Oreochromis niloticus: one gene and its partners. The protein of the gene in region 1 binds, or shares a complex with, the protein of each later gene. Links are inferred from orthologs where the notes say so. Each region holds a gene or a part of one and is shown on either strand. Other genes may lie near its edges. The genes, in order: ubtf, taf1a, polr2k and rrn3.

Region 1 (7,480 bases):
ACATTCCCTAAATTAGATGGAAATGTGCCTTTCTTGAGATCAGTTAGAGCTGTGTCTACATTCAAAGACACCTCAAAACCCTTTCTAATCTCACATGTTTAGCATTCTTAAACTTATCTTTTTTAAACTAACCCATAGAGAGAAAGCAAGATAACTTGCCCCCTCTACGTCTGTCCCATTAGCACGCAATCCAACCAGTTCTCAAAATGTATGATGTAAGGCCAAATAATCTACCTTTAACTATGTCTTTCTAATCAGCATTATCACTCTGTCTTCTCATAGAAACTGGTTGTGCCAAAAGGTATTGAAGTGACTAACCCCGATGCGAGGGGATGGTTTATCAACCCCATGGGAGAAAAGAAACCTTTCCCCGGCTGGATGATAGGTGCCAGCTGTATACCTGCAGTGCTTGTCTTCATCCTCATCTTCCTTGAGTCCCAAATTACTACGTCAGTGACACTTTAAACGATAACAGTATCAGTTTGTGTGAATTTAACTACTTAAATATTTAAGAAATCTCTGTTTTCAATGTTCTCTGTGAATCCCAGGCTGATTGTGAGCAAACCGGAAAGGAAAATGGTAAAAGGGTCGGGTTTCCACTGGGACCTTCTCGTCCTGGTCACCATGGGCGGAATCGCGTCTATCTTTGGAGTCCCTTGGCTGAGTGCTGCCACTGTGCGATCTGTCACCCACGCCAATGCTCTCACTGTCATGTCCAAGGGCCCCAAACCAGAGATTGAGAAAGTGATTGAGCAGAGGGTCAGCGGCATGATTGTGGCCATCATGATTGGTAGGTGCTGCCATCTACAGCAATGATGCAGGCACAGCAGAGTCAGAGTAAATAACCATTTTGCTCATGCCAATTTTCAGGAGTTTCTATTTACATGGAGCCTATTCTGAAGATGATTCCAATGACTGCCTTGTTTGGCATCTTCCTCTATATGGGTATCACTTCTCTAAATGGAATCCAGATGTGGGACAGGATCCTTCTGCTCATTACTCCCAAGAAATACCATCCCCCTGATGCCTATGCCACCAGGGTATCTATTCAGCACAATACAGTTTATTTTACACTTATCAGCTAATCACAGTTAATTTGTATGCAGTACACCTTCATGTTTCGAAGCTAACTCACTGTGTTAGACAGTTTTCCTCAGAGCACAAAAAATATTTAGTATTGTTTACAATTTTTAATCTATTTGCTATTTTTTCCATGTCTTTGTAGCTTTGTGCCTCACATTTGTGTCTTCTGTTGTATATCTTTGTGATCATTTTTTTTTTACCTTGCTTTCATTTTTACTCACTTTCCCAGACCTGCTAACAGTACTTTCAAAAACAGCCAATGGTTCACAGCTCCTTGCATTAGATTATGTATTCCATCCTGCTTTTTCTTATATATCCAAGTCTAGTGGTGTAATAATTACCATATAAATTGTTAATTAGTGCATTTCTCACTCTTATTTTTGTCATTTGTACAGGTGAGTACCCTGCGAATGCATCTGTTCACTCTGATCCAGCTCGTGTGCCTGGGTGTACTTTGGGCAGTGAAGATGAGCACCTTCTCTCTGGCTCTGCCTTTTGTTCTCATTCTGACCGTTCCTCTGCGCATGTTCATGACTGGCAGGCTCTTCTCTGCCATGGAAATGAAATGTGTAAGTGCTTACCTATATTTTTCAAATTTACCTCTTCGTGTCATTTCATATGTAAATTTCCTTGTTGTAACCTGATCTGCATGTGTTGCAGCTGGACGCTGATGACGCCAAGGTGACATTTGAGGAGGATGAGTAGGATGGATCTATACTGCCATAAACATCACCATACCGTTCATATTCACATTTTATTTAGTGATGCCACTTCTTTGTATATTTAAACTGTTCCATTACTATTTGTCTTTAAAGGGCATTACCTGACATTTATTAATATATGACTTCTGCATCTAAATTTGGGTTTGCAACCACAACAGACAACCAAAATGTATTGAATTTCATCATCGAGACCTATCAGGTATTACTAATTAATATTTTGAGATTTTAGGATTTCAAAAATGTTTTTTAAGGTATAAGTGGCTGTTTATGTACTTAGATACAGAGTGGCATTTTCTCTCAGGGAAAAATGAATGAATGGATTTTGAAAATAAGAGATATTTTCCCCTTGTGATGTTAGATAGATCCATTTATATATAATAGTTTTATTTTCTTTTAGTGCTCAATTACAGCATGGCTTTAATATTACAACAATGCAGTTAAATTTTAGTTCTGCCCATGTTACAATAATTTAATTTCATCTTACTTTAAGCTAAGGAAATCTGATGTCAGCTCTTCAGATGCGCACAAAATAATGAATTTTGTGAGACTATAATGTGCCTTTTGTCCATAGTTTATCAGATTATTCAGAAAAGTGTGAAGTTGTTTCTGAAGTTTTCCCATTTACTTTGTGTATTGTTTATGCAACAGTTTAGACTTTTTTTGTTCAGTTGGCCTATATAGAATATAAATGCACTGCTTGTGTGTAAGTGTTTGTGATTTTAAATGAGGTGTGCAGTGCAGGTAGATAGTTGATGCTGAGATCTTATTGTTTGAATTGATTGTTATACTGATGACATAATCAGGTAAAACTCTGTATACATTTTCCTTGTGCATTTTATGTTGCCCATCACATTTGTGTGCAAAACACTGTACATGCTTTGGATTTAATTTTATTAAAAAATAAAGACAACCTTAAAACGCATGTTTTCATGAACGCATTAAGTAACACAATATGTCACATCACATGTCAACATTTTGTCATTATTTTTACCCTGCAAGAAAGAGGAGAGGGCGTGAAGAGCATGTCTGCCAGTCAGCTTCATGCTGCCTTCAATGATGTCAGGAAACTTCAAAGTCCTGCTGCTCTGGAAGACAAGGGGGGCCTATTCTTACTTATTCTTAGCCTACACTATGATAATAACACAGGGGGAATCATTAAACAGAATACTGTTTTCTTTCTCAGACTAGTAAAACATGTTTAGCTGAATGACATGTCACATAATACATAGATACACAACATACAAAACCGTGAAGTTGTAAAATACACCCTTTGTTATGTATTTTTTATTTCATGATGTCACTTTTTAATAATGTTTCTAATATTCAATCAAGACAAACATAGTTGGACCGGCTGATTTTCCTATCCCTTAAATAGCGCAACTGCTTTGAGGCAAACTGAACTGCGACACAAATAGTTAAAGTTCTTTGGGGAAAATGATCACGGCAGGAAAGGGGTAAATTGCTTGTTCCGAGTCTTTAATTTTAAAAACAGACATTGCACGCTGCTAAGTCCCCTGCCTCTTTACAATGAGTTTTGTTTGTTTGTTTTCTATAGGTAATGTGACATTTCGTGAAGTTAAGATAAGCTCTATATGACTTATTCGTTCAAGCATGTCTTCATTTGTCTCTACTCGTTTCGCATGCAAAGATACCCGTTTTTCCTACACCATGGGAACGCAACACGGTTTAACAAGGCCGAGGGCCTGAAAGTCATTTGTTTTCCCTGAATCGGACTGCTTGGATTGGATGGCCGGGGGTTCCGCCCACAAACACACAAGGTGGAGTTGAAAAGCAAAACATGCTGGACCAAAATGAAGCTGTCAAACAGCCGCTTACAATATACAAAAAAGAGGTTAGGAGCAGCGAGAAACAGCGCGGTTTTTGTGTTATAGACCATTTTATTATTTATATTTTAAGTGGAAATCTGGCGTTTTTAAGTAAAATTTGTAAAGTTTCGGTTTTAAGTTGATATTAAAAAAAAATCTGATGGAAGAGCGTGAGGTGATTGAGTTGTATAAATTTTACAATCACCTGTAAAATGTTGGTTTTCATTGCACTCTCGGTCACCCGATAAAGTATTCGGTGGGTTCAAACTTCGGCTGCAGATGTGACGGGGTCGGCCTGCGGGAGTAAAAATAATCGCCCTCGGTTGTATTCAAACTGAGAGATCGGAAAAAATGTGGAGGTCTCGGGGTAGCGAAATGGTTGGATGGAGAGAGAAGAGCTGCTGCGCGCTGAGTGGAGGGAGACGGCGAGTGAGATGGAGGCGGGGGGGAAGGACCATCTCTGCGGGGACTGGAGCCCAGGACCGACGGCGCAGTGCTGGCTATCGTTCAACCCTCCCCTTCTTCCTCCACAGCGACACCGAGGCTCACGCTGAGAGACAGGTAAGCCAACACAACAGCCGATCGGTTTCAATATACAATGCGCGTACGTGATAAACAAACCGCGAAAAAGCCATCAAAACGCGATAAATATACATTTAATGCATGTTTTTGTTTTCTCGTAAAGCGCCTCGGTCGGCAGCTTCTTTGTAGTAGCGAAATAAACCGACGGTGGTAGGGTACAGACGAGGGCGGCCATACCCGAATTTCTTGTCCCAAACAGCGGGGAAGGAACTGGATGTAAGACCCTGGGGTAAACGTGATAAATTTCTTTTCAAAATAACACGAAAAAAGACTCTTTTGAGCTAACCCCTTCATCGAAACTCGCCTGCTTCTGCTGTACGGGGAGTATTTGCGTAGGAGAATAAACGGTGGTTTCCGCGCCGAGACCTCCATGCGGCTGTTGACGGAACAGCCAGCCGCCTCTCTCGGTTAGCCATCAGGGATCTCAGTTTAATATCTCACCGTGCAGAGACTCGCCCTCTCTCTCCCCCTCTCTCTCACTGGCTAGCCCAGAACCTCCGACGACCGAGCTCGGAGAACCCGCCTTCTTGCCCTCGCTTAAACGGTTTTGGATCGAGGGAAGGGAGTCTGCGACGCCCTGGCTTTAGTTTTAAGCTCCGTTTCTCTGTGTTTGCAGTGCGCCATTGGACCTTGTCACGGTAGGTTTCCTTGTAGAGCAGAGCTGAAGCATGGCGGACCTGGAGCTGTTTGTCGCGCCAGAGAAGCTACTCAGCCGCGGTTTGTTAACATGTTTCCTCGGAGCTTTAGCTAACCATTTTAGATGCCGTTTAATGCTACAATACTGCAACCGGAACTGTAAGCAACGGTTAAAGCTGATTTCTGGTTTTACAACAACAAAAAAATTTAGTTCGATGCTATAACATTTGGCCGTTAAAAAACATTTTCCATTTTCTTCTTTCTTCCTGCGCCTCCGCAAGTCTTTCCAGCCAGCCACCACGATATTTACGGGCATTTTTACAATTTGTTACTAATCCCTGTCCGCTGTCCACCATTTGAATTAGCTGTTTTTTATTAAACGCAGCTAAATAAAAACCGTTACGTGATTTAAATGATTGGTTGTAAACAACAGCTAATGTTAATGTGGTCCAGGTCTACTCTGCAGGACACGAAATTGTTCTTAGATGCCAAAAAGCCTAAAGCCTTGTATTAAATAACCTTTTAAAAGGCATAGCTAATAATATTTAAAAGAAAATGTCCCAATTTTAGCCGCATTCGGTGTGTCAAATCGTCCTTGCTCGTGTAATGCCTCAACACTCCAATTTATATCACCCATATTGTCATAATAATGAAATTTAAGGTACATTTTGTGTTTCAAGAGTTTCTTATATACAATGTGGCGGTTATTTAGTTACATAAATGGTGAAATCGATCGTTTAAATGTAGCTAGGTCACACGGTGGACACCACATTGAGCTGGGGCCATCAAGGACAAGATGAACAACGAGCAGCCGCCATCATTGGAACACAGTTCGGTTACGCCTCGCTGAAGAATGCTCTGGATTTTGCTAGCAAATCCCACTCTGAAACGCCTGAAACGTGAATAAAAACGGCCTGCAGATAACCTTTAAACACATTTATTTACTGTAAACGAGTGTTATTTTTGATTTCATCGCTCCGGTCTCAGTTAACACTACGAGGAGAAGATTATAGGTTTTGCGTGGCGGAGCTAGATCAGCGCCCAACGGTGATGAGGCGCCTCTGTCGAGTGGCGCATTTGGCTGCAGTGCTTCCAAGCTACCATTCCCCTTTCTCGGAGACCGAAAGCAGATCCCTCGTCCGTGGTCAGCTGGTCGCCTACAGCTGCCCGTCCGTCCACGTCCATTCGCTTCCTCCTTCCGTGGATCCTCCCCAACCTCAGCTCCGACAGAAAATCCTCCATTACTGAGCGGACCAGGCGAGAAAATGGTCGCTCCTGTGTGTCCACGATACTTTTGTTGTGGAATAAGGACAGTACTAATACGCCAAATTCCGGTTGGCAAAATTTGCTCGACGGAGACTCCTGTTGTCGTAGCTAGATGTGCTAGTTGAAGCCCTCCGCAGTGTTATTTGAGATTTGAAGCCGTCACAAGCAATAGCCTATGTCTCACCATGTAGCGTAAACGTTTAAGGGGCGGTGTAATGAACATAAACCATTATGTCGAGCCAAATTTAAATTTAACGACTTTGACTCGTTTATTACTTTTATATGAAGAATTAGCCACTTTAATTGGTAATTAAGCCCTTTTATACAAATAAGACAAAATAACATTAATTACTATTTTTAAAGATCTCGAGCCTTACTGGTTAAAGGTAATAAACACGAATATGTATATTATAAACTGCTGATTGGTTCTTGATTGAAGTCGATATATAAAAGATATGCTTTTAAATAATCTTATGGGGGTGTTTTTTGTTTTTTTTCGCAGATCCAAGACAGAATATCCGCAAATGAATGGAGAAATGGAGGCAACGACACAAGACCAAGGTGGGTTTTTTGCAAAAGTTTTTCTGAACAGAGTTGATATGTAGATTAATCATGGCAAAGCAGCACTTTACATAACCTTGTATATTAAGACCTTAGTATTAAACTTGATTAATGTACTAGTTCTTGTAAGAATTACAGCAATTAAAACTGTTTGATTCAAATTAGATTAGAATATATGATTTACCAACTTAAAGCCAATAAACGAATAGAATAGTAATTTTATTGTTATTTTTTTCTTGGCAGAATACACAAAAGGATGTATGATTTGAAAGATATTTTGGGTGGATCTGTTTTTTTCCTTTGTGATTTTTATGTGTCTTTTTTCTCTCTCTCTCTTTTAACATTTTCACAGTATGGGCGCAGGATGACCTTTTAAGACTGCTGGAGGCCATGAAAGTGGCTCTTCCACAGAAAGACCTGACTAAATACAAAACATCAGAGTCCCACCTGGACTGGCAGAAAGTTGCTTTCAATTCCTACACAGCTGAGATGTGCAAGCAGAAATGGCAGGAGGTCTCGAAAGAGGTGAGTTGATTTGTATCGATTTTTCTCCAAGTCAGATTTTTCTGTTAAGTCAAGTCTCCTGAGTTTCTCTGTTTTGTTTTTCTGCCAAACCCAGATTCGTAAATTCAGGACCCTGACAGAATTGATAGTTGATGCTCAAGACTACATAAAGAACCCATACAAGGGCAAAAAAATAAAGGTGAGTTCAAGTCAACATTCACATAATTTACGGCCAACAGTTGTGCTAATGGATTTCCAGGCTTAAGTAATTCCGCCCCCTTTCCCTCCCACAAATACAGA
Region 2 (7,975 bases), on another chromosome or scaffold:
AATAAACTTTGATTTACTGTAATTTAGTTAAACTCGATGTCTATAGAATAGACATAAAGAGAAATTGAAGTTTGTTTATGGTCCTATGTGGCAGTCTTTGTGCAGTCTTGCATTTCCTGTTTGCATCACTGTAACTGTTAAAATTTCCACCTCTTATCTCTGTGGTAATAATTTTGGGGTTTTAGTAGGGAGGCATTCATAGAGCAAATGGTTCATAAGATCACTGGTTCAAGACTGGGAGGAGACACAAAGCCAGCCTCAGGGGTCACAAGCTAGTGGGAAGGGCATCCGGTGTAGTATCTGTAACAAATCAACATGTGGTTCCCTCCTGTGTGGCAACCTCTTGGGAAATAAGCGAACAGCTGAAAGCATGAAAGTACTTTCAGCAGGGAAGCATTCATAGTTCAGCCCATCAATTTTTAAACCCAAATGTTTCTTGTGAGTCTAGTGTCATCAGGAGTGTGAGACTGTACAGCATTTTTATATCGAGACAGTGTCCCACATTTTAAATGACTCTAATTTACAAAAATGGATTTGTGTCAGAACAAAACAACTCAAAAAGAACTTGGATGCATCCCTGCTAAAACCCAAAGATGATTAGCAGACAGAAAGGCTGGAATGACAGCTGTTAGAAGCGTGTACAGAAAACTGTTCCATAGGACCAATTATAAACTTTAGTTTCCATTTATGCTCATCACTAATAAAAAGATAGGAGCCTCAGCTGGAGATGACAAAGTTAAAGATGCTCAGATTTTATTGGAAGTGACCAAGATGCTCAGCAGGATATCAGAGGGTTGGTGTGACAGAGGAGAATGCAAGGAATAGGGTGAAATGGAGGCAGATGATCCACTGTTTTGTGGACAAATTACTTTCAAGTAAAACACAGTCAAGTTAGTATGCATCATTTGTATAACTGAAAAGATGTATTAATAGGCTTTAGTACTTTACCCCACATTGTACTACACCAGCAAAATCTTTGCCTCACATGTGTTTTATTGGCCTGTGATTGCCCTATATGAGAATCACTGGCGAGGACTTTTGTAGAGCCAGTCAAAATGTAGGGCATTGTCGCAATATTTGGGGCAGACACTTGTCTTGCTGCTCTGAAAATAGGAGGGGATGGATCGATCTAAATATTGATTATATAGATACCAGCGTTGGTACTATTATCTGATCAATACTTGTGTGATAGGATTGATCCTTTAGTTTATCTCGTCTGAGATCAGTATGTCGCTTCAGTTACATCAAACAGTAAGCATGTCTGTTCAAACATCCCCACAGCCCTGTCCACACTTCGCTCAACTTCCTTCTTCCTGTTCTGCCATAATTTGTTCTCATGTCACTCAATTTAACACTTACTTCAGTGTTAAATTTTACTGGAACTGAAAAAATATATATCCTGAACATGAAAATATTTAAGTAATTTAAGTATAGTATAAGAACCCTTTTTGGTTCACTATCAAGTCATTTTTATTTATTAAGCACATTTAAAATAACAGGGGTTGACATAAAGTGGTTGCCCAGAGGGCACATTTAAATTCCAGCGCTTCAAAAAAAAGAAAAAACGTGGGAAAAAATAGTCAAAGGTGCTTGTGATTTGTTAACCAATTAATGCAAAAATCACATAATTTAGTTGTCATAAAAACGGATTCAGATTAAGCATCAGATATTGATGATGCATTCACCTCATAAATCATTACATGCGGCTCTTAAAAGTGTTTACACAGGCAAAGCTGGGTCTGTATATACTTTATATAATAGTATACTTTATACTGTATATAATTTTGAATAGATACCAGAAATTGCAATGTTGCATTCCACTACCCCACATTTTTCTGCATGAATAAACTCTTTTCCCCATATATAGTTTTTGAGGAGCTGGAGACTCGGGAGACTTGCATGACTTTAGAGACTTTTGTTGAGCCAGCCAAAATGTGGGACAGAGGATTAAAATCGTGTGGGTACACCTGGTCGCCCTACATGTAACAGACGTCGGTCTTGCTCTGGAAGTGTGGTGCATTATGTGAGAACTCAAATTTCCAGTTTTCCCTGAATGCCCCCTCCGGCCCTCCCCCTGCCTTGTTGACTGTCGCGGTATAGGCTGAAGTTCAACACAGCCGGTGCTGAGCTGGCTGCTGTGGCTAACGGCCTTATTGTGGCATGTACAGGCAGATAATGTGTTGTTGAGTTAGTGTAGCCTTTTTTGGTCGCTACAGTCGTTATCCATAATCAGAACCACCAACTCTGCTAACGACCGTTGCTTCACGATAACAGCTGTGAATGGGATTTGACGGGTGATCTGTAATTACCGTTAGCAAGTCGTTGTTACCAACTCCTATCTCTACTATTTTACGTTGTCCATTTGTCTAACGACCGCTTATTTGTCTTTCGTACGCGGGAGACATTAACGCTCCTGGATACCGAGCCTTTGCCTAACAATACAGTTACTTTGTGGATAGCTAACGTGCTAGGCAGCTAGCTGATACCTGTCAAACTAGCATCTGGCTAGTTCCGTTCTTGTTTTTAAACACGAGAATGGAGAGGGAGACATTATCCCTGCCTGTCATGGAACCGGAGCACACATATGTGGTTTTTGTGAAGGGACTGCAACATGTAAGTATTCATTACAGTATTAAAAAAAAAAAAAAAAAGCCAGACGGACACACATATGAATATTATTATTTACGCTGTCATGGCCTTAACCATGACGTGTTAATTAGCAGGTGGCTGATGGATAATGACTTGGACGGTTCCTGGTCCTAAATCTACTCACCAAACTTGCCTTTAGCATTAGCAGCAGTCGACCGGGTCTTGTATATTTGATTGAAGACCTTTCACTGTCCTGTGCCCTTTTCGTTGCTATCTAACTGTTCTTACAGCCCAGCCTTTGTTAAATTTGTATTGAACATTTAGAATTGAAAAGTAGTAAATTGAAGAGAGGCTTTTAATATTTGCCATTAGTATTAAGGCAGCTGTAATCCCTGTATTTTATTAGAGCCACGGAGTGAGAGCGTGTATATGTTTGCTACTGTTGCCTCATGGGGAGTTCAAAGGTTTCTTTGTGATTGGACTAATACGCTCGGTTTGGTATGACTGGGCATAAATGAAGCTAGTTTAACTATAAAGTGAAACCCACCTAGCTTGTGAAAGAGAAAAGCTTATAGTATGAATTGCTCCCTAATCAAGTAATGTATTAAATGCTTCATACATCACTTCAAAATGTATGTATAGAACAATGTAGAAAACATGTTATTTTTTTATGTTAATAAATAACCAACAGAATTATTTTGGTGACTAAACTGAGAGTGTAGACGAATCTTTTTGTGTTTTTTTTATATCAATCCTGTGTCCTTTATCACATACACTCACCGGACACTTTATTAGATAAATACTTGGGGGCTTGGCAATGTTTTCCAGTGTTCTGTTGTCCAATCCTGGTCAGCCCATGTCAGTCATATCCTTAATTTCCTGTTCTAGCTTACAAGAGTGGCACCTCTGCTGCTGCAGTAGCCTTTCAGCCTTAAGATTCGTTGTGGGACAGAGATGCTCTTCTTGTTACTCTTGCTAATCTTGGTTGTAATGAGTGCTTATTTGAGTTACAGATGACTCTTTAGTGAAGTGTCATAGTTTGGTAAATGTATGCACAGTGTCTTAGTCTAATGGTAGATTTAATTTGATGTTTAATCAGAGCTTCTGCAGTGTTTTTATTGTATATTGTATTGTTTCTTTTTCCATTGGGCTTTTTTGTTTATTTATTTTACAGCCAGAATTATAGTCATAATTATTTTTGATACATTTTGAAACATGGTAACTCTGTTGTCTCTTTTTAATTAAGTGTATTTGAGCTAAATAAAAAAACATTTTTGTAAACCAAAGTATTCATGCCATAGCCTGAACTTAGGCTTTTACTGAGAGGAAAAGGTGATGTTGCGATAGGCAAAATGAGAAAATGATTGTATAGGAGAGCATGACACTATTGTTTTTTTCTGTGATTAACTGTTCAGCTCTTCCTTCCTTGTTGACAAACATCTCTTATAATCATCTTGGCTAGAGCTGAAGTAAATCTACCGCAGGCTGTTTGAATTTTTAGAGATACGGAAAAGTGCAATCAAGTTATAACACAAGACAAAATAAGAGCATCACTATGAAAATAATTTTCAATCTTCTTTTCACCACTGTTGAAAGCTGTGTTTGTAACTAGAAATCGATATAATTTAATTGCATAGTGCTATTTTAACCATCTGTTTCCAGTTTAATTTCATTCTCCGGAGTTAAAGCTGTGGTTGTGGGTTTTTTTGTCTCTTCAGATGATTTCATTGCTGCCTGAAGAGTGGAAGCCAGGAGAAACTTTGTTTGGCTGTCCTTGGCAAACTGTTGTCATCACTGCTTTGGTTGGAGTAGTGACCTTCACCCTTTTCTTCTGGAGGACTGTGCTGGCAGTAAGTGTTGTGATATTGCTGCTCTGTTTATTTGGCGCCAGTAAAATGCCAATATTATTTGTATGAGCTTTGATTTAATAAGGCTTTGTATCCCCCTGGGTTATACTCCCATTGGATTGAGTTATATACAGTATAAAATCTTTTCTGTTTAGGTCATTGTTGGATGATATTATACACTGTAAGATTCAAAATTGATTTTTTTAATTTTCATTTTTTAAAGATAAAGAAGAAAGAGTACCTCGGTAAGTTTTCAGTTATAATTTTTGCACAACATGACAAAATGTATATGTGTACGGCCTCATTGATTGTGTGCTTTGTGTTATTGGAAAAGTGGATGAAAAAACACTCAGAGAGCAAATCCAGGTGCACAAAAAGGAAAAGGATGAAGCTCTTGCCAAAATGGCTGAACTCCAGAAACAGGTGAGCCCCATAAAGAGAAATGTTGCTGAGTTTCTCCTGGACAAAAACAAACAAAACACATCTGATTCATGTTTTCTTCTTTTTGTAAAAGACTGAACAACTGAAAGAAAATCAAAAACAGTCAAAGGAAACTGTTAGTTGTGCAGTGAAAAAGATGCAAGAGCTAGAGGTAAGCAGTAAGAGTCTTTCTCATATGTATTTAGTCTTACGTAACTGGGTTAAATCTTTGTTGACACTCAGTTATTTGGTGAAGGGTTGTCGTTAATTTTTTTTCGTTACTGTTTGCAGAGTAAAGTCTTACAGGCTGAAACATTGAATAAACAGATGGCAGAGGAAAAGGACAAATACGCACAGCTACTGGAGGAAGAGCGGGCAAACACTCTCCAAAATGAAACAAGAGTAAGTGTTTAATTTTGCTTTCTGCTCGTTGTTATTTGCATTCTTTTCGCTGATTCATGCTGCAATTATTATCATTATTATTATTTTTATTTTAACAGATTGAGAAATTAGAGAAGTTAAACGAGAAGCTACAAGCTAACAGGAAAAAAATGCAGGAAGCGCTCTCTAAGGTACAAATCCTTTTGGGATTTGTTTTTTTTTTTTGCAAACTCTGTAGTGTTACTTTGACCTTTTAGCTTTAATTTATCTTATAAACTGTTTTCTTTCATCCATAGACTACTGTTCTCCTGGATGAAGCCAAGATTCGCGAAGATGCCCGAAACGTTCAACAAAAATGTCTTGAGAAAGAGTTTGCTGCCTTAAAGGGCGAGAACAAAACAGTAAGACAGATATGGATATTTCTCTTCTTTTATTTCTCTTTTTCTCTTGTCATAAATCTGAATATTTCATCAGATTTAATTTATGCCCTGTCTTTTCTAACAGCTGAAGGCCACCATTAAAAGCTGGGAGGAAAAACACACAGAGCTTAATGAGAAGATTAAAGTCTATCAGAAGTCCCAGAAAGAACTGGAGGACTCTGTGGTGCTCAAAGATCACAATGTGGAGGTCATTTTTTTCACTAACTACTGTCATAGCTCTTCCTGATTTTTGTTATTATTTATTTATTTGTTATTATTTATTTATTTATTAAATCTGTATTAAATCGTCTCACTCTTGCACAATATGTCTACTTCAGGTGCTGTCTGAACTTCTGTCTGACCTGGAAGCTTGTGATTTACAAAAAGGTGACACCAAAGTTTTGGCCAATGGTGAAGTAGCACCTGGTAAGTTTGTAGTTTATCAAAATATTAAGGGATATCGTAAATGTGTGGATGAAATACGACAAGTTGTTTCATTAACCACTGTTTAATAATATAGTGTTTTGTTGTTCTTTCAGTGTCTCTTACAGACAAGAAGACGACCATAAAGAACAGAATCAAACAGATGATGGATGTTTCTAGGGTGAGATATCAACAGATGTTGTAAAGCTTATATTTAGTTTATAGAGGATTGTTCGGTTTCAAAATGTTAGTGCATTTTCTTGTATTTTTCTCTACAGGTTCAGACCACTCTTGCTGTAGTTGAAGAAGAGCGGGATCGCTTCATGACAAAACTACTGAATGAAGAAAAGTCCAGGAAGGCAATGGAAGGTACATTTTGAATTAGATTAATTAAGAAGTTGTGTAATTCAGTTGAAAATGGGTATCTGCATCCCACTAAACTCCTTTTTGTTTTATTTTAAAACAGAGCAACACCAGGAGCTTGAACATGCAATCTCAACTCTGAAAAGTGAGAAGAGCCACATTGAAAACCAGTTCAAGATCCTCCAGCAGAAAAACGAAATCATGGTCGAAATGTATCAGCAGAAGGAAAATGCTCTGCAGCAGTAAGTGAAGTCTTCAGCAGATTAGAAATTGTTACTTCCTGTCCTGAATGTCTGAAAGTCGTCTGTATTTTTGTAGTTGTAAATTTTACTTGCTGTCTTTACACCATGAATGATGATGATGATGAGTAAGTGAAACCTCTCATCAGTCATGATTTGTGGGAGGACTGGGAGTCACTATGTTTCTGTGCGCACACAGGAAATTAACGAAGGAGGAGCTGGAGCGGCGCAGCAAAGAGAATCTGCTGTCGGAGGTTGGAGGGAAAGCTGTTGAAGCTGAGGAGCAGGTTAAAATCTTAAGGCAGCGCATTAATGAGATGGAGGACCAGATGAAGAAGACTGAGGAAGTCTACAAAGAGCAGGTAGACTGTGTGTTTGTTTTTTTATCTTAACGTTTACAAATTAGCCAACAAAATAAAAACATTACTCCAATCTGAATCTCGGCTGAATGTGATTTTCTTTCTTTAGATCAAAGAGCAGGAGAACAAAACTCACTCAAACTGGGTATGTTTCTACACCGTTTATTTACAGTTTCTATAAATAATTTATTCAGTCTGTGTAAGATTAATATTGAGCTAAAGCGTTACTCTGCTTCTTTGCGCTGCCTGCAGGTGAATGCTCGTAATGCAGAGCGAGCTCTAAACCAAGAGAAGCTCGAATCATCGAAGCTTCGTGAAAAGTGAGTTTTGGCAGTTGTTAAAGCTTCCTTGTTGTTGTGGAATATCAGAAATGTTGTTTGTTACTCATAATGAGGCTGTTTCTATACAGGAAGTTGCGAAAGCCTGAAAAAACCACTAAACAGTGGTTACCGCACATCATAGCTGTTCCTATTACTGCTTAATGTGACTTCAGGCTGAATAGCTTGGAGGCTATTGATTGTTTTGTTTCTTTTGGACAAACTGTGAAATTATTTAATGACGTCACCACTTGCTCTGTTACATTTTCATCAGATAATTAAAATTACCGTTAGTCACAGCCCAGTTTAACTGCATCTGAGCTGTTTTTCTTCCTATTCACAGATTGGCTGTACTCACCTCTCAGCTCAATGAGCGCCGCGCTCCTCTCTTCAGACCAAACTCTGGTCAGCCTGCAGGCCCTCGCCAAGGTAAGCAGGCACATCTCACCCTCTATTTTATTTCCATCAGCTCAGCTGTCATCCTGAAGAACCACTGAAGATGATACTGTTTTCTGTTTGGTGGGGGACTCCAGTTTTGCCTCCAGTTTTGCCTCATATGTGTTGTGATTGTGTATTTGTCCTGTTCATGTGCTTGATTTTTCTTGCAGGACCTCTTTA
Region 3 (7,234 bases), on another chromosome or scaffold:
CATTTTGTATCAGTTATTTGAACAGGGAAGGACACCAAGTTGCTCTTAGTTTCCTTCCCTGTTCAAATAACATAATAATAGTAGTAATCCATGTATGTGGTGGTGAGGTCATCTTCTTACCTGTAGTAGCTGTGTGGCCGTCGCTCTCTGCTCCGGGTTCTTCACTAAACACTTCTTGACAAAGTCTGTAAACTCGTCTGACCAGAGCTCCGGCTTCCTGAATGTTGGAGGAGGGTTGGTCGGGATCATAAAGATTGCCTGCAGGAACACGATAACAGGATTAGGGTGGATTAAAAAAAGAGGAAAAATGTTTTTCACAACACATTTAAAACAAGAAGAAATGTTTCTACTCACTCTCATTGGATGGATGTCTGCATAAGGAGGTTTACCCTCTGCCATCTCTATGGATGTGATGCCCAAGGACCAGATGTCAGCTACACAGTTGTAGCCGATCTCCTGAATTACCTCGGGTGCCATCCAGAACGGAGTACCGATCACAGTGTTTCTCTTCGCCATGGTGTCCTACAGAGTGGGAATATATATTACCCCAGACTTTTAGAGCATGACAGGACCAAGCGAGAACTCCTCAGAAGCAAATTACAAACAGTATCATGCTGGCAGACATTACTTCATCTTATCACTACTGACATATGCCGCAATTTTACCGTCAGCTGTCCAGCAACCCCAAAGTCTGCCAGTTTGGCGTGTCCCTCTGTGTTCAGAAGGATGTTTCCTGCTTTGATGTCCCGATGGATCTTCCTCATGAAGTGAAGATACTCGAGTCCCTTCAGCGTCGACTTAAGGATGGTTGCGATCTCATCTTCTGTCAGCTGAGAGATTGAAGAGTAAAAAACAAACATGAAAAAACAGAGCATTAACTGCTGCACTTGTCTGTAGTTTTTTTTTTATAATCATTAGTTTGCTGAGTTCAGTTAAAGACAAGTTCAACCTGGAGATCTTTTCACTTTTAAGTCGCAATAAATACTGCACTTTGAATTGAAACTTTATCAAAAATATTTTTCTTCCTGACACAAAAACTAGTGAATTAAAGCCGCCATTGCAGTCATTACTGACAACAGGTCAAAGGCACTTTTAAATTAAGTTTTAGCACAGTTACACACGTCGCTGCGGCTCAGCGTAGACACCCACCGTCTTGTTGCGCAGTCTGATGATGTCAGAGACAGAGCCAGCGCCGCAGTACTCCATCACAATCCACAGGTCTGTGTTCTTGAAGTAGCTGCCATAGTATTTCACCACATAGGGGCTGGGGAGGAAATGCAACATGGAGTGGTTATCAAAGGAGAAGATACAGAGCAGAAGTGAGAAAAAAAATCTCATGGATCCAGACACGAGAGAGCTACATAGGCTATGATGATGATGTCATACTTCCTCCATTATTATCTCTGTAAAATGTCTTTTGAGGGTTTTCCTGGCTCAGAATGGACCTTTGAGAGGAAGCTAAGTGCAACTGGTCTGCGTACAGTTAACACTAAGAGGCTCTTATCTAATTAAACAGAACAACTGTGCACTTCCCTGTTATTTGGGGCAGCTGATAAACAAAAAATGTATTCTGAGCCTGCAAATAAACAATGATTTTCTCTCAAAACTGTTTACTGGACGCCACATTTTTCATATTGAGGAAAAACTCTGCTTTTAAGGGGAAAACTGGCGGTATGGTTAAAGACATACTGCTGTCCCACCTGTCACACTGCTGCATGATGGAGATCTCCTTGATGATTTCCTGCAGATCGGACTCCACAGGCACCTGCTTGATGGCCACCACCTGGCCGGACTCCTTATGAATGGCTTTAAACACGCTGCCATAGGAACTAGAAACACACACAAAGCTTAAAGTCACATGTACGGCCGCAGTGCTTTATTACAACTGACAGCACTTAAAAAGAGATTCATTACGCAATGGTCAGCTGTAAAAATGGAAGTTAAGACTTCTTACCCTTCACCGAGTTTCTCGAGAACATCAAACACTTCCTCTGGCTGTTTCGTCAAACTATCTTCACTCAGCTTTTTCAGCTTACTGTAAAAAGTGAATAAGACAGGAATATAAAAGTGAAAGCAATGATAAGTGGAAAAGGCAAATCTAAACATTACAAAACAGGAGACACGGCATTGTTTCAGCATTTGTAAATAAATGAACGGCTGTGGGTGATTTTTAGTCTGGACATAAATGTCAAACACACTGGGACTGCAACTTGTTATAATTTCCGTTTGTTGTAATTTAAAGATATTTTTAGGTTTGTGCATCGGTGCTTTCAAACACCACAATATGAGGTAATACTTCTTCACAGATAAAAATCAGCACCGCAGCCAAACAACAGGAATAAGTCATTATTTTACTCAGAGCAGGAATGTCATTTTAGCCAGTTAAGTTCAATGTGATCGACAAAAAATGTTATTGTGAAAGTGAAAGCACAACCCAACATGCACTGTTCACTATTTTCTGACTTGATCAAAAATATTATCACGTGCAATACAAGACTAAAGGAGGTCGTTTCTCCCTGAGCAACACTTAGTGACGCAAGCTTCAATAAGGTTCCTCAGTCTGGCTCTAGTGAATAAATCAAACACAATGAATCAAAAGATTCAATCATTTAAAAATGATCCTACATGAGCTCTGACAAAGACACAAACAGATTGTGTGTTTTTTTCCCCATTATAAGGGTATTTCAATACTACCTCTTAGAAAAGCTTGTGCTATATGAAGCTGGAAAGGCCCTCACATCCTGCTGTTCCTGTTAATTTCCACTAAGCAGAACAGAAACGTTTAAGTATTGTGTCCTCAAAGTCTTTCAGAGAAGCCTTTCACTGACTGTGAGAAGAGCTGAAAATATTGCTGTTTTTCCTTGAATCCAAAATAAAAAACTTATTCAGTCTGAATTTCACATAGTGTTTTATAATTATATGTTTTTGGTAATTTACTTCAATATCTATTATTATATTTATGATGATGATGATGATTATTATTATCATCATCACTTATTTTGTTCAAATATTTATTTTTGGAGACTCATTCTTTAATTTCATTGTATATTTATTAATGTTATAGTAAACTTTTAAGCAATTTTTACTCTATATTTATTTTGTCTTTATATTACGCAATTTTATTTTTGTCAATGATTTCCAAAGCAGTTCTAATTTCTTTTGATTTTGTTATTATTCATTTTTTAAAATATTTTACTATTCTAAAAATCTTTCCTACCAAATTCTGTCAACCTAAATGTTTAATAATATTACTTTATTATTATTATTATTTCATCATCCTTTATAGTGTTGTAATAAAAGGGGTGCTCATATATGGAATAAATAAATATTTCTCATCTCAAGATGAACATGTGTGATCTCATAGTTTAAAAATAGTACAGCAATCATACAAAGACTTCAGATCTGTCGCCTTGTGGTTAAAAAGCTCTTCGGTAAAATTAACTTGCGTTGTCTTTTTTTTGAGCCTGTGAACTCGTGAACCACCACAGCACAGAAACCAACTAAGTAATCAGTAACGTGTAATACTGGTTTGTCTTCAGGAGTTGTGCCAAAAAATACCGTGTCCGGTATTTAAACAGTTCTAAATGAATGCCTATGACCTATCAAACATACCTCTCTCTTATGAATGATTTCAAGTCACTTTGAGCAAGCAGTAGAAGCTGCATTTAGTTTTTGGCAAAGTGACTTTTATATATCTTTTATTTATTTGGATAAAAAGTGTTATTGACATTCAAAACGTCTTTTTTCCAATAGAGATTGCGCAAACAGGCAAGCCAAAACATGGAGGACCTTTAACTTTTACAAGGACATTTTAAGTGGCTAAGAAAGTCAATAACAATAACGCAGACCCATAAAGAGAGATCACGTCTTTATTATATATATATACACATATATATAAAAACCCCTTCATAAATCCTAATAACTAAAGCCTGTTTACAAATACTTTCAACAATATTAGACATAAAAAGATACACAGAAACAATGCAATTCATTTTTTGGAGGACACTCGGGAAACTAGAGGCTGATTCAGTTAACATGCGACTGAATGATATTTAAAGTGCAAATCAAACCACTGAACAAAACACTCTTACAGAAACTTGGGAACACAAAACGACCACATCATTAGCCAAATCTATTAGAAACTCAATTGAGGGCTCAAGAAAGAGCGTCTCTGTGTGAGGAACGATCTGTACATCCGTGAACAGAACTGAAAGTTTGAGAGAAGACTGTCAACGCTAAGTTAGCTTAGCATCAGCGAGCTCGGCGACATCCACCGCCTACGTTAGCTGTTCGGCTAGCTCGATAATAATAGCATTTTTAGCGCAGTTAAAATAACACAAACCTTTTGGGCGCAGACGTCTCCATGATGTACGACTTCAAAACTAAAAAGAAAACAGACTAATAGGGACTCGTGGCACTTTTGGGACCAGCAGTCAGGGCGAGAACATTGTCGACTGAGTCGTTGTTGTCAAAAACTAAAGCAGCGCCAGCTGAGGGCTCGTCGGATGACGGTGTTACGGCCTCACCGCAGCGCCCCCTGCTGGAGCGGAGTACAAACAAAACGGCTAAAAAATACTCTCCTTAGAAACAGCGAATAATTTGTATCTATTAAACAACTGAGACTTGTGAATAAAATGTTACTGATAATAGAGCTGTCCACAAAATACAACTATGCTTTCCTGGTCTCATTCAAAGACATCGTCCGACCAATCACAAGCGACTTTGCTGTGAGGTGAACGACTGTTCTACGCATGTGCAGGCAGGAGCCTTGTGGAGTATGAAAAGAGAGGTAAACAGCTAGCAGCTATCGTGTTTAAACGGTGAGAAACCTTGTTGTTGTCTTTCCATCCTGTGTACTTCATATCTGTTAGGTTTATGCAGCGTTTTTAGATACTTTAAAGATATTTGTTGTTTGCTCTAAATACCATATGGGTTGTTTTAGTCTGTTTCGGGCAATACCATGCTGTTTCTGTTAGCATGTTGTTAACAGTTATATCTCTGTCTCTATTTTTTTGTTAAGAATCAGAAATGGATACGCAGAAAGATCTACAGCCGCCCAAGCAGCAGCCTATGATCTACATATGTGGAGGTATATTACAACTTTTACTTTAATAATACACCCGCGGGTAATGCAAACAGTACGATCTTACCTGCTCTAATGCAAACCTTTCATCACTGCCATCACGGCTGCTTCTCCTCTGGATGTTTTTTTTTTTTACATTACACCGCAGAGACCTTAAATATTGTTCATATTGTGTTCCGTCGTAGTAACAATTCTCTCATAATAAGTTAACAAATAATAAACTACAGCTAAATTTAGATTCTAAAACTAGCCTGTCCGACATTAATAAATTAAGGATTAATCCGTAATTAATGCTTCAGAGATAACTGAGAGTGTATTTTTTCAGGTATTACAGCACTAGTTTTTAGAGAAAACCATCTATCACACTATATCATGTCCTGTTTTGCCTAACACATGAAAATGTACATTATAGAAAATTCGCATAACTACCGTCTATAATTATAAATATGAGTTCAGTATTAGTACTAAATAACACTTGGAGCACAAGGTCTGCCTATTGTAAACCGGTCTGTGCATTCAAAGCTGTGATACCTGGCATGTGTGGGATTTCCATTCACTGAAATTACATCTCAGGTGCCTTTATAGCCTCATGACCCCTACCCCTTTTCTAATCTCTGTTTTAATCATAGTTAGCTTGGAATAAGATAATTTTATTGTTCTGTATGTATGTATGATTTTTTTTTTTTTTTTTTTTTTACCTTGTGGGTATTTGTGCTTCCAGGTGCAAAACACAAGTACTAACTGAGAGTTACATGATGTTCTTGTGTTTGAATAGTGTTTTTACTACTTAATCCACCTTGGTGGAGACCTCTGGATGACATAACATACACATTAGGCTCACTAAATGTTTACAGTGGGAAATGTTAAACCTCCTTCACAGTCTGATACATTGTTACTATTTTGGAACCAATAACACATATTTCACCATGATTACGTAATGTTGGTCATCTTGCATCTGGAAAAGGAACCACCCTGATTTTAGTACTAACAAGTTTTGTGGCAAGTGTAAAAACTCAGTAACAATCTGAATGAACTGAAATGAATACACCTTACACATTATGGACTAAAATATTGGGCCACACCTCTTTGAATTCAGAGGCGTGCGCTAAGTGAAAAAAAGTTACCAACACTCTGCTGACTCAGTAGCTGCAGAGGTCCAAACCTTCTCTGTCATTAACATCAGCAGAAAAACTATGTGCTGCCCGCTGCTCTGCTCTGCTCAAACTGCACTTGAACACATAACACCATGATTTCTCTCATCACTTGCAGAATGTCACACCGAGAACGAAATCAAAGCCCGCGATCCGATCAGATGCAGAGAGTGTGGCTACAGGATCATGTACAAGAAGAGAACAAAGAGATGTATCCTTTTGACATTGTGTGCATGAAGACAACTTGTGAAAACATTAAAAATGACCAACTGACAGTTAATTTCAGACATGAATCTTTATGCTAAAGAGTGTTCAGATATTTTGTTTTTGATTGATATTTTTTGGTTGCTACGTTTGCTGTGGATTTCCTTGACTCTCTGATTTCAGTGGTTGTATTCGATGCCCGATGAAGAAGAGGAGAGGAGCAGTTTTGACTCTGTTTACTGTTTGTAGTGTGGGATCATGTAAATAAATAGACCTGGCTTCAGATTTGTGAACTACTCATTTTATTCTCCGTCTAAACAATACATTTGCTTGTCAAAGATGTATGAAAGTTTGTTTTGGTTTATTAAAAAATAAGTATTTTAATTGGTCGTGACTGTTTTTCCAGTTTTTCTAACTGATGAGCCGATTTAATTGGTAGCATCTCCATGACGACAGGAAAATATGTGTTTCAGCTCTTGTAGACTTTTCTATATTCATGTAGTCACGTGTAATTGGTCTGTTGCTATGAGATGTTTGCAGCTTTTCGACCCCTGAAATGAAGTCTGCCTTTCAGAATAATAAAATGCAGCAGGGGGAAGTAACCTGATTTTGTGTAATGCAAACTGGTTTGGGGCCTTTTTCATAGTAATAAAGATTAAATGACACTTCGATGTTTTCTTCCCCTCACCCCCAAAGGTGATTTTAATGACTTTGACTGTGGGATAATTGTTGGTACCAGACTGGCTGATCTACGAGGATTTTCCCACAGCCATCTCCCAAAAAGAGAAAATATCCA
Region 4 (7,139 bases), about 22 Mb from region 1:
GCCTACTACTGTAACACGTGTATGAATCATGATTACTTCAGTACCAGTCAGAGTAACATACTGGGGGTGAAGTGGGAGACCACCATGTTAAGGCAGGCACACAAGTAGACAGTCTGTGCCGACACCAGGTTACCCAGAAAGGCCAGGTACTCGTCCACCACAGCCTGGCTCCGGCCCAGCCAAGGAAGCCTCTATAAAACAAACACACACACACACACACACACACACACACACACACACACACAGTGTAATGTCTTCCAGCATATAAACACAATCAGCTTTTTGGACGTCTGCTGATTCACACCACATGAAGACACCTAAGGCCAAATAATCCACTGCTAGAGTTAGAAAGTACTTTATCTTCGACCGTATCAGTGGACTGAACGGTTTAAAATGTGTAACAAAATAACAGAATAGATGACACATTCTCAACAGTATATCATACTGACAAAAGTTTGTTTGTCCATGTTAAATCAACCACGGCTTTTCCCGTGAATTTTTTTTTTTTCATTTTATATTTGACTCTAATATTGGTCCTGATTCAAACTTGAACGCTGGTGTGGGGAATCAGTGATCAAGGGTTATTGTCTGGTTACTACAGGAGCAGAAGGCTAAACGGGTGTGGATTAAACTAAGAACAACGAGTCAGCGTTCTGGATGTGCGGTTCTCTCTGCAGGTCTGATCACAATAATACTTTCCCTGTCAACTGTAGAGGCGACTGTTGTTGCGATTTGGTGCAATATAAAGAAAATTGAATTTCATATTGGAATGAGGTCATTACAAATTTGGTGAAGGCATACATGTTCTATATCTTGTATATCTACCCTCTTTTTTCTTGGCTCAATTTAATTTCTTTGTTTTATTAATACATACTAGTTTAAGATGTTGCTTTAAAAAGCAAATGACCTCTCACCCACACTGAGGAACAGGGCTAGGTTATAAGTTATATTAGTTTTATAACAATATTTCAAAGAAATATGCGATAATATTCATGACAATATAATAAAAATATACTAATCAAGGTATTATCAGTGTAGCTTGCAATAGGCATTTATTTATTAGAGAAAACAAAATAAAAGGCATTTCCATCCTCTTTTTTTTTGAATGAGTCTATAATGACAGACTGCCTCATTCAAAGTTTGAATTTACTGCCACAAGAGGCCAGCAACAGCATTACAGTATGTTATTTACAGTCAATGCAAGTCAATCAAATACAAGAACAAAACCTGCCTAGGTCCTGTTTTTAGGCTATAATAGTGCTGTGAAAAAGTATTTGCCAAATTCCTGATGACTTTTTTTTTTTTTAACATTTACATGTTTAAGATCAAACAAATTCATTTTTTCTCTCAGTTGTGGGGTAGTTTGGGTGGGTTGCGAGGCAGCAGGTCCTACACAGGCCAGTTTGTCTTGCACTCGCTTTTTTTGTCTGTTGCTGATGGAGTGGATGGCTGGTGTGACGGCTCAGTGTGCAGATGGGCCCCAGACCCGAGGACTACAGTTCATCCTGTGTTTGATTCTATATGTTTTTCTGTCAGGTGACATTTGTTCTGTAACTGTGGTGATTAGTGTGAGCAGTAAGTTAACTTGGGGTTTGCCCTGCGCACTCACATGAGAGGGGTGGTGTTGGCAGTATCTAACTAAACTATAATGGGCATTTCACATGTCATGTGAAAATCCCACAATAAAGAGAAAATTCATGACAGCTCCAACAGAAACATTATCAAATAAATTTAAAAATCTATAGAACATAAAAATATACTGGTAAAATGCAACATGTGATCAGTGCTGCAGAAACTGGTTAATCTGGTCATTTAGTGCACTGCCTGCACTCAGTGCTGCTGTTTAGGTCTAAAGTAACAGCTGCATATTAAAAGCTCTGAAACTTTAAAATGGATCCTTTTAAAAATTAAAGCTTATGCCTCTTTTCCACTCGTACCTACTCTGCTCGGTTTTGGTGATTTTACAATATAACTGAGTACCACCTCAATGTTCGTGGGGTCGTTATAGCAACACCCAAAAGTCCCATGAGCTCATTTAAACGCTACACAACAATGGCGGACACCGAGGCAACGGTACATCTGCTGCTAAGCCGTCTGCTTGCCATGCTGACAGGCTAATCAGCAGCATGCAGTTTGTTGATGTGATGTTTGTTTTAGATCGACTCAGATCACTTGGACCCCCGGTGGAGTAAATATAGTACTCTTCTCCTTGCATCATGTTAATATTTACACTCACCAGTATAGTATAAATGAGCTGTTCATGATCCTTGGTCAGGTGGGTCACACAAGTCCGAAATTCTTGCAGCCAGTTGATGATCTGAGCATCCTGTCGGAGGAGAGGGCGTTCACTGAGAAGCAAAGTCCACCACACCACAGGGTGCCCTCACACTAATGCTTACCTTTATCTCAGGATCAACCAGCTGATGTTTCAGGAGTTCATAATCACTCGAGTCTCCCTTAAAAAACAAGGAGAAACAGCTCACCAAAAAAGCAGTTCACCAAAAGCGTAGGAAACATAGAGGTGTTTGTAAACAACTTTACGAAGGTCAGCAGAATCCACAGACAGGCCAGCAGGTGGGTCTAGATTCATTTAATAACTTAGTGGACCATCTCGTAGATGTGTCACCAGAATCAACAACCCTAAATAAATATCTCTCTTTATCATTTTCCAAGAATGACAACCCTAAGATATAACTCACGTGTTTGTGTTTCTCTAACGTCTCCGCAACACTACCTCCAAATCTGACCGTCTTCACAGAAGGGGTCTTCAGAAAGTCTCGACCGTCTATTTCCATAACCCACCGGGCAGCTAACGCTGGTCTTTGCTTGTTAAGCTGAAAGACAGAGCTGGAAAGGAGACTCGCTCGTTACATCTCTCACACCGTACAGCTCTCGATACTGTGGCGTTAACTAGTTTGATCAAAGGAAACACGCTTCCGGAAAACAAACTCCAGGACGTCCCGTCCAAAACCACGCGAAAGTAACAGGAAGAGAACTGCGTGTTTACGGAAGTGATTGTTCGGAGCAGGAGTGTCACATTAAAGGAGAACGTTCAAGGAATCCATTTCGCTCAGGAAGGTTCCTACCTGAGTGAAGTAACTTTATTGAGCTTATGTACAAACAAACACAGGCTGTGAGTCAAGGCTCACACCGTAACAATAACACAGGCTGAACAAATACAACAAACGAACAAACAAAAAGAATAAATGTAGCTTTTATAAAGCAACAAAAAAGGAAAGAAAAGCAGAGTAAACAGATTAAGATAAGATAAGATAGCCTTTATTAGTCCCACACGTGGGAAATTTGTTTTGTCACAGCAGGAAGTGGACAGTGCAAAAGTTATGAAGCAAAAATTAGAATACAATAAGAATAAATACAGTACACAACTGTACTGTACAGAATAGAATAAAATCAAAGTTGGATCAAAGATAACACATTTTTAACTCACTATCACAGAGCATGCAGCCATTTACATCAATTTTTATCAACTCAGCCTGATGAAATTATTATCATTGGATAAATTTCATGTATCCAACTAATTATATGCACCACTGACAAAGAAGCACATATCATGTAAATGATCATTATAATACTTCCGTTATACTTAGGTGTACTCTGTTAGTTTACTTAGTTCATAGTTGATAGCCCGTATTATATTAGTATGAATCTTAAAGACCTCATACTACTCTATATTACCCCAATAGAGCACTCGCTCTCACACTGCAGGCTTACTTGTGATTCCGCTCCCAGTTTGGATTCGTCATACAACAGTATTTTTTCTAACACTTTAAACAATATCTTACTGTTCAAATAAGAATTTTTTTTTTTAAATAGAACTAGAACAAAAAATAAAATCATTAAAAGCTGCCTAATGATTGCTTTGCCTCACCACAAGAACACATTATTAACAACCCAAGAAAGCTAAAACTAGAATTACATTAAGTAATTACCAAGAAAACGCAATTTCTGATGCAAAGGCTGTGTTTGGCGTGCTTTAAACAAGGCAATAAATCTGGAAAATTCTTTGCAAAGTTAAAACTAAATAAAGAAATAAACAACTATTAATTCTATAAAGGATTTGACCAGAAGCATTACTTATGATCCTCAACAAATAAAGAAACCTTTGAAAGACTTTTATATAGCTTCATACTCATCACAGTGTCATCTCCAGTGACATCTGATGCTGTCAGATTTGGGACTCATCTGCAAGACCACCCTTTGTGGTGGGGGCAGTCTTATATATACCCCCCTCCCCCCCACACACTCCCTCATACAACACATCACTCACACACGTAGGATCTACGTGTGTGAGTCATTACAGTTCACTGTCCTCCCCTCAGCCTCAGGTCTTCAGCTGGAGAGGAAATGGCGTGTCACAAATTTAGAGGATCATCATTTAGCCTGGAGAAATAGTTTGCTGCTTTATAAGAAAGCCCTCCGCAAAGCCAGAACATCTTACTATTCGTCACTGATTGAAGAAAATAAGAACAACCCCAGGTTTCTCTTCAGCACTGTAGCCAGGCTGACAAACAGTCAGAGCTCTACTGAGCCAACCATCCCTTTAACGTTAACTAGTAATGACTTCATGAACTTCTTCACAAATAAAATTTTAATCATTAGAGAAAAAATTACCAATAATCATCCCACAGATGTAATATTATCTACAGCTACTCTTAGTACCATTGATGTTAAGTTAGACTCTTTTTCTCCAATTGATCTTTCTGAGTTAACTTCAATAATTACTTCCTCCAAACCATCAACGTGTCTTTTAGACCCCATTCCTACAAAACTGCTCAAAGAAGTCCTGCCATTAATTAATTCTTCAATCTTAAATATGATCAACCTATCTCTAATAATCAGCTATGTACCACAGGCCTTCAAGCTGGCAGTAGTTAAACCTCTCCTGACTCTCCATTTACATGAACAAATTGGAGTCTATTAGATAGATATGATACAAACCACTGCAGCACAGTACCTGTAGTACCTACAGCGTGCTCTAATCACTCTAATAGGATATTATGGTCAACAGTATCGAACGCTGCACTGAGGTCTAGCAGGACAAGCATAGAGATGAGTCCACTGTTGAAGCTTGAAGGCCTGTGGTACATAGCCAATTATTAGAGATTGAAGCATAAATGCAGACACCATTTTATTTAGACAGAGATGGTTGTAAGTAACCCAGAACAGTTGGAACACCTGTAGGAATTAGTAGCACCAGCTTTCAAGACTTGAACCGCCGTTGCTGCAGAACAGCTTTAAATCGTTAACTCATTTTGTGTTCCCTGAAAAAGGCCTTTTTGTATAATTTTTGGGTAACCATTCTTTTTTTAAAACCTCTGTCAGTTCACCACTTACCTTTGTACCATTTCAAGCTATCCATTGAACTTCAACGACTTAAATTGCAATAAATAACTGGAAAAACTGGGGTGTTCTAAAACTTTTAACTGGTAGTGTGTGTATATGAATATATGAATGTGACAGGTGAGACCTGAGACTGGGAACCGCCCTTTGTAGGTGGGGCTGGGTGGTTGATTGGTGGCAATATTCACTTTCTTTGGGTGCCAGCTCATGGAGGAATCAGTGGAAATGATTGGCGGCGGTTGAGCACGACTGTTCCATGAGTGGGTCAGCTGTGTGCAGCTGGGAAGACTATGTTGATTTAGACGAAGAAGAGGAAATGCCTCTGGAGCAAATGCAAAGTGAGCAGAGGAGGGGAAAGCGTAAAAGAGGTGGGAGCAGTAGTGGTAGGGATGATTCTTTAGAAGCTAGAGAGAAAATGTTTGCTGTTCTGAGATTTACCGAAAGAACACAAGTCAATATTAAAAAACTGAGTCAGTTCGTGTTGACAGCTGAACTTAACAGTAAAGTGGGAGATCTAGTTTCTGCTAAGGTACTGTCAGATGGAAATCTTCTTGTGCAATGTGTAAATGAAGAGCAGTTCAACAAGGCTTTGAACTTAAAGCAGTTGGGGAAGTTTAAAGTGGAAAATGTTGGGCATGTGGGTGCACAGACAGGAGGTGGATGCAAGGGGGTAATTTCTGGGGTCCCCATTAGTGTGAAAATGGATGATCTGAAAAGAAAAAATCAAAGGAGGAAATGTGATTTCTGTGGGCAGGTTGAAAGCAACAAAAGAAGGAATTAAGGTAGATAGTGAAAGTATCCTGAGACACTTTGAAGAAGGAAATCTGCCAAGGAAAGTGTTTTTGGGTTTCATCAGTTATCCAGAATGAGCCTACGTTCCAAAACCTCTGAGGTGCTTTAACTGTCAAAGGTTTGGACACCTAGCGAAAAACTGTAAGGAAAAGAGGAGATGTGCTCTGTGTGGTGGAGATCACGAATATGGGAAATGTGGAGATGGAGTTCAACCAAAGTGTTGTAGTTGTGGTGGGAGTCACAGTGTTGCGTATGCTGGATGTGAGAGAATGAAACAAGAAAATCATATTCAAAAAGTGAGGGTGGAGAAGAAGATCTCCTATGCTGAAGCAGTGAGGGTGATGAGAGTGAGTGAACAGGTCAACGTCAACCCAGGACAGGGTACATCTCGGGGTCAAGGAGTTCCCCAGATCAACACGAATGGTATGGTTATTGATAAGATGGCGTTGGTTACATTCATTGCAGGAGTGATAAACACCACAGCTGATGTGAAATCTAAGCAGGAGAAAATTCAGCTTATTGTTAAGCCAGGGCGATTAAACACTTGGGTTTAGTAGGACTGACATGGGAAGAAGTGAGGGACAACCTCAATTATCAGTCAAGTCAGGAAGCATGATATTATTTTATGTACTCATGGTACTTATCCTTTAATGGAATGCAAGGAGTCTGTTGGCCAATGGCCAAGAGTTGAAGCATTTCATCAAACTACTTAATGTTAAACCGGATGTTATTTCTGTCCAGGAATCTTGGCTTAAATCTTCTTTGGATTTTGTGTTGTATGGGTACAAGATAATACGAAATGACAGCGACCGTGGTGGAGGGGGAGGATGTGCAACATTTGTCAAACAAGACATTCCATACAGACTCCTGGGTAAAGGCCATGATTTGGAGTATATTGCTATTCAGGTTTGGGACAGGAATAAACCAAATGTTATTGTGAATTTCTACAATCCTTGCGCCAGATTGGAGCTGCCGCGTCTTCGTTC

The links.
Region 2: ubtf (region 1) and taf1a share a complex: the UniProt entries of both Homo sapiens proteins name them as parts of the pol I pre-initiation complex. The link is inferred for Oreochromis niloticus from reciprocal best matches to the Homo sapiens genes UBTF and TAF1A.
Region 3: ubtf (region 1) and polr2k share a complex: the UniProt entries of both Homo sapiens proteins name them as parts of the pol I pre-initiation complex. The link is inferred for Oreochromis niloticus from reciprocal best matches to the Homo sapiens genes UBTF and POLR2K.
Region 4: ubtf (region 1) and rrn3 share a complex: the UniProt entries of both Homo sapiens proteins name them as parts of the pol I pre-initiation complex. The link is inferred for Oreochromis niloticus from reciprocal best matches to the Homo sapiens genes UBTF and RRN3.

The regions. Positions count from the first base shown.
Region 1 is NC_031969.2:28,404,055-28,411,534, reverse strand, and holds the start of ubtf (nucleolar transcription factor 1), read left to right. Parts: upstream 1-4,478; 5' UTR 4,479-4,851; intron 4,852-6,617; 5' UTR 6,618-6,639; coding exon 6,640-6,676; intron 6,677-7,028; coding exon 7,029-7,201; intron 7,202-7,295; coding exon 7,296-7,379; intron 7,380-7,479; coding exon 7,480-7,480. Other genes in the region: slc4a1a (solute carrier family 4 member 1a (Diego blood group)), read left to right, coding at 283-449, 549-790, 871-1,040, 1,479-1,652, 1,744-1,788. UniProt on the Homo sapiens protein: Recognizes the ribosomal RNA gene promoter and activates transcription mediated by RNA polymerase I (Pol I) through cooperative interactions with the transcription factor SL1/TIF-IB complex.
Region 2 is NC_031980.2:14,112,303-14,120,277, forward strand, and holds the start of taf1a (TATA box-binding protein-associated factor RNA polymerase I subunit A), read right to left. Parts: upstream 3,007-7,975; 5' UTR 2,783-3,006; exon of another isoform or gene 2,774-2,782; intron 1-2,773. Other genes in the region: mia3 (transport and Golgi organization protein 1 homolog), read left to right, coding at 4,308-4,439, 4,660-4,681, 4,771-4,859, 4,951-5,028, 5,148-5,258, 5,357-5,428, 5,534-5,638, 5,742-5,864 and 8 more. UniProt on the Homo sapiens protein: Component of the transcription factor SL1/TIF-IB complex, which is involved in the assembly of the PIC (pre-initiation complex) during RNA polymerase I-dependent transcription.
Region 3 is NC_031985.2:19,959,512-19,966,745, reverse strand, and holds polr2k (DNA-directed RNA polymerases I, II, and III subunit RPABC4), read left to right. Parts: upstream 1-4,707; 5' UTR 4,708-4,820; intron 4,821-5,020; 5' UTR 5,021-5,028; coding exon 5,029-5,089; intron 5,090-6,352; coding exon 6,353-6,445; intron 6,446-6,621; coding exon 6,622-6,644; 3' UTR 6,645-6,723; downstream 6,724-7,234. Other genes in the region: stk3 (serine/threonine-protein kinase 3), read right to left, coding at 121-258, 355-522, 666-830, 1,150-1,264, 1,701-1,829, 1,955-2,035, 4,343-4,365. UniProt on the Homo sapiens protein: DNA-dependent RNA polymerase catalyzes the transcription of DNA into RNA using the four ribonucleoside triphosphates as substrates.
Region 4 is NC_031969.2:6,416,665-6,423,803, reverse strand, and holds the start of rrn3 (RNA polymerase I-specific transcription initiation factor RRN3), read right to left. Parts: upstream 3,020-7,139; 5' UTR 2,796-3,019; coding exon 2,700-2,795; intron 2,457-2,699; coding exon 2,400-2,456; intron 2,327-2,399; coding exon 2,237-2,326; intron 192-2,236; coding exon 62-191; intron 1-61. UniProt on the Homo sapiens protein: Required for efficient transcription initiation by RNA polymerase I (Pol I). Required for the formation of the competent pre-initiation complex (PIC).